Macaca mulatta: one gene and its partner. Each later gene encodes a partner of the first gene's protein in a complex. Links are inferred from orthologs where the notes say so. Each region holds a gene or a part of one and is shown in the gene's direction. Other genes may lie near its edges.

Region 1 (3,500 bases):
GATTACAGGCATGAGCCACTGCACCTGGCAGTTTTTTTTTTGTTTTTTTTTTTCAGAAATGTTTAGCATTCTTTGAGGTAAACGGAGCATCTCAAGTTTCCCCTGGCTTCCCAGGTGGCAGAAACCAATAGGAAAGCAATTTGGGGGTTAATAGGACCACCCAAACCCAAACCCCTCCTCACCTTGGCTCACTTAAATGGGCATTCTGGAACCTAGGGCTGTGGGTATTTTGCTTCAATCTGTCTTCAAGACACTGCCCTGGAGCCAAGTGAAATAGATCATTTTCTGAAGGGTGAACTTGACACAAGGCCAGCATCATTCCAAAGAGCGTTTGCACCGAGCAAGAAAATTGGCTAAAGCTTCCGTGCATATGGTTCTCAGAAAAAATGAAGGCGAAAACCGCAGCCACAAACGCCTTCCCCCAGGGCATTTTGCTCTTTCTTGTGAAGTGGTTCCCAATCTGGGAAGTGGTTTTTGTTCTTTCTTTGCGTGACTTCGTAAGCAAGATCCTTCTGGCTTTGTTGGATTAGGAAAATATGTGCTGCTCTTCGGTAAGGAAGGAAGAGGAGTTGTGTCCCCATGTTGCCTCCAAGACAGCATCTATCACAGATTTTCTTCCCCGGACACATGAACGCAGGTCTTGAGGACATCCATGGAAATGGCCCTCATGCCTTTCTTATCGATGGCAGGAATAAGTATTAGCATCATGTGACATAAAATCAGATTCTCTTTCCCGAGCCTTTGTGGTTAAAATCAAGTGAACAAAGAAAACGGAGTCCTGGCAACAGTGTTTGAACAGACCTGAAGCCTTTTTCCTGAGTTTCTGTTTGGCAACTCTCTGTCTTTTTCCGTCCAAGGACTGCCTGGGTGCAGAAAATCAAAGCTGCTTCTGAACTCTACATAGAGACTGAGAAAAAGAAGCGCGAGAAGGCGTACCTGGGTAATGCATGGCCCCGCGGGCTGTCCTGCACGCCGGCAGGAGGGAGGGCCATTTGGCTGGGCTGAAAATCCTCAGAATAGAAGAGTCCTCTGGACCTAGAGGAGGGGCATGAGATGGGATGGAAGTGAGCTTGGGGTGGGATGCAGATGGGGAGGGAGGACAAATTCCAGGAGCAAGGAAGCAAGAGGTCAAGGAGAGGAGGGGAGAATTACTTTTGAGGCGGGAGAGGTACATGAAATGCATTGTGAGGCTCACAGAGATGGGAACGGTGTGGCATGTTCAAATGAAGCATTGTGTGTTTTTCCTGCCATCACAGTCCGTTCCCAAAGGGCAACAGGCATTGGAAGGTTGATGGTGAACGTGGTTGAAGGCATTGAGTTGAAACCCTGTCGGTCACATGGTAAGGCTCTGAGGCGCCCCCGCCTCCTGCCTTAGGGTTGGAAGCTGGGTCCGGGTTCCCTGCACCCCCACCTGAATGTAAATCAAATGTGCTATTTCCATACTCCCCGATCTCCTTCCAGAGTTGGTTTAACTAGCACTGATTTAAAACCTGGAGGTTTTGTGGGGTTTTTTTTCATCCTTTCTACCATTCTGCTTTTCCGAGGGATCTGAGCGGCTGCATTCACAGTGGATAGGACACAAAATCAGACCAAAGTGAGGAGACAGGACGGGCCTAGTTTCAAAGCCCACTCAATTAATTATGTGTTCTTAGTTTAAGGATGACGCTGACTTCTGGGAGTTTGCACCTGGATTCTCCATTGAATGCCACTTATTAAGCATAATAATTATTAAGAGAGGGGAGCGGCCAGGCACAGTGGCCTGGATTACACACCTGTAATCCCAGTGCTTTGGGAGGCCAAAGCAGGCGGATCACCTGAGGTCAGGAGTTTGAGACCAGCCTGGCCAACATGGTGAAACCCCGTTTCTACTAAAAATATAAAAAATTAGCCAGGAATGGTGGCAGGCACTTGTAATACCAGCTATTCAGGAGGCTGAGGCAGGAGAATCACTTGAGCCCAGGAGGTGGAGGTTGCAGTGAGCTGAGATCGTACCACTGCCCTCCAGCCTGGGCAACAGAGCAAGACTCCATCAGAAAAAAAAAAAAAAAAAAAAGGGTGGGGATCAAAATGAGGGGTGAGTTCCACCTGACGAAGGCTTTTGTTCCCTTCAGGAAAGAGCAACCCCTACTGCGAGGTGACCATGGGTTCCCAGTGCCACATCACCAAGACGATCCAGGACACTCTGAACCCCAAGTGGAATTCCAACTGCCAGTTCTTCATCCGAGACCTGGAGCAGGAAGTCCTCTGCATCACTGTGTTCGAGAGGGACCAGTTCTCACCAGATGGTGAGTGGAACGCGGCCCCGTGGTTACGCCTCCTTCCCTGGCACTCGTTTGCGTGGGTGAATGTTTTCTTACCTGGAGACTTGGTGCCAGGATTCCTTGGGTTTCCCTCCTGAGAGATGAGGCTGGCTGGCACAAGACGAGGCTCTGTCTCCCCTGGAGGAGTCTTCTGGAGGTGTCTCACTGCAAGTGGACAGAGCATGCTTGGTCTAGAATTGTGCCAGCTGCCCTGGGCAAACACGACCATCTTCTGCTTTCCAAAGCAGGTGACTGTGGAGAGGGGTGTATTTAAGAGCCTCAGCACAGTTCTTCAGTCCTTGGCAAAAAGCCATGCTGGCAATGGATGAAGCTGGCCAATGGAACAAGGATGTTAGCCCAGCACAGGAGCCGCAGAATCAGCCAGGTCCCTTTGGGTGGCATTTTTGTGGCAGTTATTAAGTAGGCAAAGGGATGCAGTCACGTTGGATGAATCATTTCTTCCGCCAGCCTTCTGTTCCTGCTTGGGCCTGCAAAAGAATGGTCTCGGCCCAATGATTCCAAGAAACGACCTGTCTCTCCCTCAACCCAGTAAAAATCACCGGTGGCCATGGTGATGCGGGCCTGGAATCCCAACGCTTTGGGAGGCTGAGGCAGGAGGATTGCTTAAGCCCAGGAGTCCGAGACCAGCCTGGCCAACATAATGGGACCTAGTCTCTACAAAAAAATACAAAACGTAGCCAGGCATAGTGGCACGCACCTGTAGTTCCAGCTACTTGGGAGGCTGAGGCAGGAGGACTGCTTGAGACTGGGAGGTTGAGGCTGCAGTGAGCCGTGATGGTGCCACTACACTCCAGCCTGGGTGACAGGGCAAGACCCCATCTCCAAAAAAAAAAAAAAAAAAGTCACAGAGTAAGTTAAAAGATTATATGCTCAACTTAATTATAACCAAAGGAGTGAGGGTCGAATACTATCATTATCTGTACAAGGTTTAAATGGCTCCATAGGGCCTTCATCTTTTAGTACTTTTTATGTGAATTATCTCATTGTGAGTTAGGTACTCGTGGTAGCTGGTTAAATGTTTGAGTGCGACTGGAACAGTTTGCCTCCCAAGTCTGGACTCTTAACCACTATGTGCACTGTCAACTTCTAAATTCTTTTTTCTTTTTATTTTTTTACTTTTTTTTTTTTTCTTGAGACAGGGTCTCACTCTGTCACTCAGGCTGGAGCACAGTGGTGCAA
Region 2 (3,500 bases), on another chromosome or scaffold:
GCAGGTGCTTGTTGACTGCAGCCAGTGGACCCTCTCTGGCCTGGCTGGGGCAGTGTGGCCTGGTCTCAACACTTGTGGTGGGGTGGGGCTGGCTCTGGGGACGGCCGTCACAAGAGCCTCGTTCCTGGTCGTCATTCTGGGTGGTTTGAACAGAGACAGAAGCAGTGTGCTTCTGAATACAGCAGATTTTGAGGTCCTGGGCATTCTTCAGCCCGGTGTCTGCTCTCGCCCCTCTGCGTGATGAGCGGCTCTACGTGATGAGTGGTAATCCTCAGCTGGCTCCTGCTGCGAGGAGTAAGACAGGTGCTGTGTCTCAGGCCACATAGTGCTCCCCCCACCCCATCCTTTCAGCCGGGCATGGTGCTCCCCCCACCCCGTCCTTTCAGCCGGGCGTGGTGCTCCCCTCCCCCGTCCTTTCAGCCGAGCATGGCAGAGCATGTTCTCTGGCTGTGTTAGGTGCTAAGTGTCCAAACTGGACGTGGCCCACTCCCTGCCTACTCAGCACCTTCCCGTCCACAGAGGGGGACGGATTGAGAGCAGGACTGTGGGTGCTGCACTGTGGGTGGGATGGCCAGAGGAAGTGCCTATGTTCTGGGGGCCTCAGGAGGCATTACACTCCTGGGGGGCCATGTGGACTGCAGAAGGCGGTAGTGACCTGGTCTGGAGAGGATGATGGTGCAGAGGCCCCTGGGAGGGCAGAGCAGCCGTTTGTGGAGGGGTGGGAGGTGACTTAGCACAAGGTGGGGAGAAGGGCATGTGAGGCAGAGGTGGGGACCCTACCAGTGAGGCCTGAGGGCCCCTGGTGCACAGCCCCGGGCTGAGGATAGGGCTCAGAGGCAGTAGTACGTTTTGGAATGATGCCTTGGAAGTGTCACGGAGTCAGGTTGGGATTTGGGAATCCAGGCTCCAGGCAGCGACTCTCGGAGGGGGGGGCCCAGTCACCAGTGCCTGAGAGGCCAGCAGCAGGGTGTGGAGAGGGGGCAGCGGTGTGTGGAGGGGTGGCAGGGTATTGGGGGTGCCCTCGGGAGGCGCGTGGTCTTGATGCCTGCTGGCGTTGGTGTTGGCAGCTGGTGCTGTTGGAGGGGGGCTTGGTTCCAGGTGAGGTGACTTTGGGGAGATGAGTTTGGTGTTGGACAGCCTGGCAGAGCTCCATGTGAGTGGCTGCCACGTGGGTGTGGGCTGGGCAGGTGCCTCCAGGGGCCACCCGTAAGAGTGAGCCAGAGAGGGGAAGAAGCGGAACCCCCAGGTGAGGCTCGCAGGAAAGATTGGCCAGAGCTGGAGGAAACCACCAGAGAAGTGGCCGCCAGGAGCCCAGGGTGGCATGATCAGAGGAGTGCTGCCACCAGGTGTCGGGGCTTTGGGAGACAAGGGCCCAGGTGGCAGGTGGCCTGGCTGTGGCCGTGGCCTTCTGTGCGCTGGTCTCCGCCTCTTCCTGGCTTTCTTTGTTTAAGTCAGGGAATCTTAAACTTTCGGGCTCATGGCCCTTTTTGAGAATCTAGTTCAAGCTTTCTGCATGTCCCAAACTTTTGTAGACACATTTAGGTGCTTCTGAAACCCTCACTTTGACTTTGGATGACAGTTTGGTTTTGGGATTGCCACGGCCTGCAGGTGCCGGCCCTCAGCAGCCCGTCCCCTGCAGGTGCTGAAGGTCGCCATCCTGGCAGAGAAGTACGCGGTGGACTACACCTGGTACGTGGATACCATCTTGAACTTGATCCGAATTGCTGGTGATTACGTGAGTGAAGAGGTGTGGTACCGAGTCATTCAGATCGTCATCAACCGGGACGACGTGCAGGGCTACGCAGCCAAGACTGTGTTCGAGGTATGGCCCGCAGGACGGCAGGAAGGATGGGGTGGAGGGCAGTCGCGGAAGGTGAGCAGTGAGTGGTTCCAGCCTGGCTGGGTGGAGGTGCTGAGGGCTGTCGCTGACCCCTCCTGCCCCTCAGCTCTTCCCTGAGGCTCTAGTTCCTCCGCTGTTGGCGCCCCACGAGAGTCCCAGTTTCTTCTCACCCTAACTCTCAAACTTTTGGCTCTCTGGGGGCCATCTGAGAAAGCCGGCCCCTGTGTGTGTGAGAGCATGCTGGGGCCTGCCGTGGCGGGGCCTGCCCTGTCCATCGGAGAGGATTAGGCCACCGGGAAGGGGTGTGCCATGAGGACGCTGGCAGAACCTCCCCGGCTGGAGCCTGTTCTGGACCCTGCAGCTCCCTCCAGGGCAGGTCAGCGTGTGGCAGCCTCGGGTTCCTTGCTGCTGACACAGGTGCTGAGGGTGCTGAGGAAGGCAGGGATGGGCACCTGGACTGAGGTCTCCAGGAAGTTGAGGGGCTGGTGCTGGTGTAGGGTGCACCGTGCCAGGATGTGCCTGCCTCGCCTTAGCTCTGGACACTTGGCTGCCACCCCGGCTCATTGTGTTTGTGCTTCACAGGCTCTTCAGGCTCCCGCGTGCCACGAGAACCTGGTCAAAGTGGGCGGCTACATCCTGGGGGAGTTTGGAAACCTGATAGCCGGAGACCCGAGATCCAGGTGAGAGGCCCTTTGCGAGTCGGGGCCAAGAGGCGAGGTGCCAGCTGGCTTTGTTGGGAGGCCTCGCAGAGCCTTGTCTGCTCCCAATCGGCGTCTTTTTGTTTTCCTTCAGTTGATAAAAAAAGCAGGGATTCTAGGAGAAAATAGAGACATGGGGTTTATGGCTGACTTTGTGAAAGGGGTGCCTTGCAGTGGGATCTGGAGCTGGAAGAGGGTCCTGACCAGCGGCCTCTGGTGCAGGCAAGGGGGTCTTGCTGCTGTCCGTCCCCTGCGGGGACATGCTGGAGCCTGCGAGGGGACGATGGCGTTCCCATGTTGTGCTCTCCCCACCCCCCTAGCCCGCTGATCCAGTTCAACCTGCTGCACTCCAAGTTCCACCTATGCAGCGTCCCCACCCGCGCGCTGCTCCTGTCCACCTACATCAAGTTCGTGAACCTCTTTCCTGAGGTGAAGCCGACCATCCAGGACGTGCTGCGCAGCGACAGCCAGCTGAGGAATGCAGACGTGGAGCTGCAGCAACGCGCCGTGGAGTACCTGCGGCTCAGCACTGTGGCCAGCACCGACATCCTGGTAGGAGGCCCCCATCCTTCGGGCTGGCTTGACTGAGGGTGGGAGGTCAGGGACTCTGACCAAGCCCACCCTGTGTTCTTTCCAAGGCGACCGTGCTGGAGGAGATGCCCCCGTTCCCGGAGCGGGAGTCCTCCATCTTGGCAAAGCTCAAGAAGAAGAAGGGCCCCAGCACAGTGACAGACCTGGAGGACACCAAGCGGGAGAGGAGTGTGGATGTGAATGGGGGCCCCGAGCCTGCCCCGGCCAGCACCAGTGCCATGGTGGGTTCCTCACCTGCTGTGTACCCAGACCTGTGAGGGCCTCACCCCCAAGACTTGGGACCAGCAGAGCATTTGCCTGTCAGGGAGGAGCATGTACTGAGAACCCAGGTGCCGACTGTGGCTCTGGACATCCTGCTGGCCTGTCCCGGG

Evidence for each region. Proteins that work in one complex are often made in the same cells at the same time.
Region 2: the proteins of ITSN1 (region 1) and AP2A2 are in contact, whole or in part, in a crystal structure (PDB 3HS8), measured with the Mus musculus proteins. The link is inferred for Macaca mulatta from reciprocal best matches to the Homo sapiens genes ITSN1 and AP2A2. Residues at the interface, in NP_034717.2 of Mus musculus: Asn841, Trp843, Ala844, Phe846, Ser847, Ser848; in XP_006536218.1 of Mus musculus: Glu308, Gly320, Val321, Glu324, Gln329, Gly331, Leu332, Lys333, Phe346, Gly348, Asn349, Lys350, Gly386, Ala387, Gln388.

What each region holds. Positions count from the first base shown.
Region 1 is NC_133408.1:13,503,966-13,507,465, reverse strand, and holds part of ITSN1 (intersectin-1), read left to right. Parts: intron 1-857; coding exon 858-940; intron 941-1,256; coding exon 1,257-1,340; intron 1,341-2,111; coding exon 2,112-2,285; intron 2,286-3,500. UniProt on the Homo sapiens protein: Adapter protein that provides a link between the endocytic membrane traffic and the actin assembly machinery. Acts as a guanine nucleotide exchange factor (GEF) for CDC42, and thereby stimulates actin nucleation mediated by WASL and the ARP2/3 complex.
Region 2 is NC_133419.1:888,384-891,883, forward strand, and holds part of AP2A2 (AP-2 complex subunit alpha-2), read left to right. Parts: intron 1-1,639; coding exon 1,640-1,822; intron 1,823-2,422; coding exon 2,423-2,520; intron 2,521-2,858; coding exon 2,859-3,090; intron 3,091-3,176; coding exon 3,177-3,350; intron 3,351-3,500. UniProt on the Homo sapiens protein: Component of the adaptor protein complex 2 (AP-2). Adaptor protein complexes function in protein transport via transport vesicles in different membrane traffic pathways.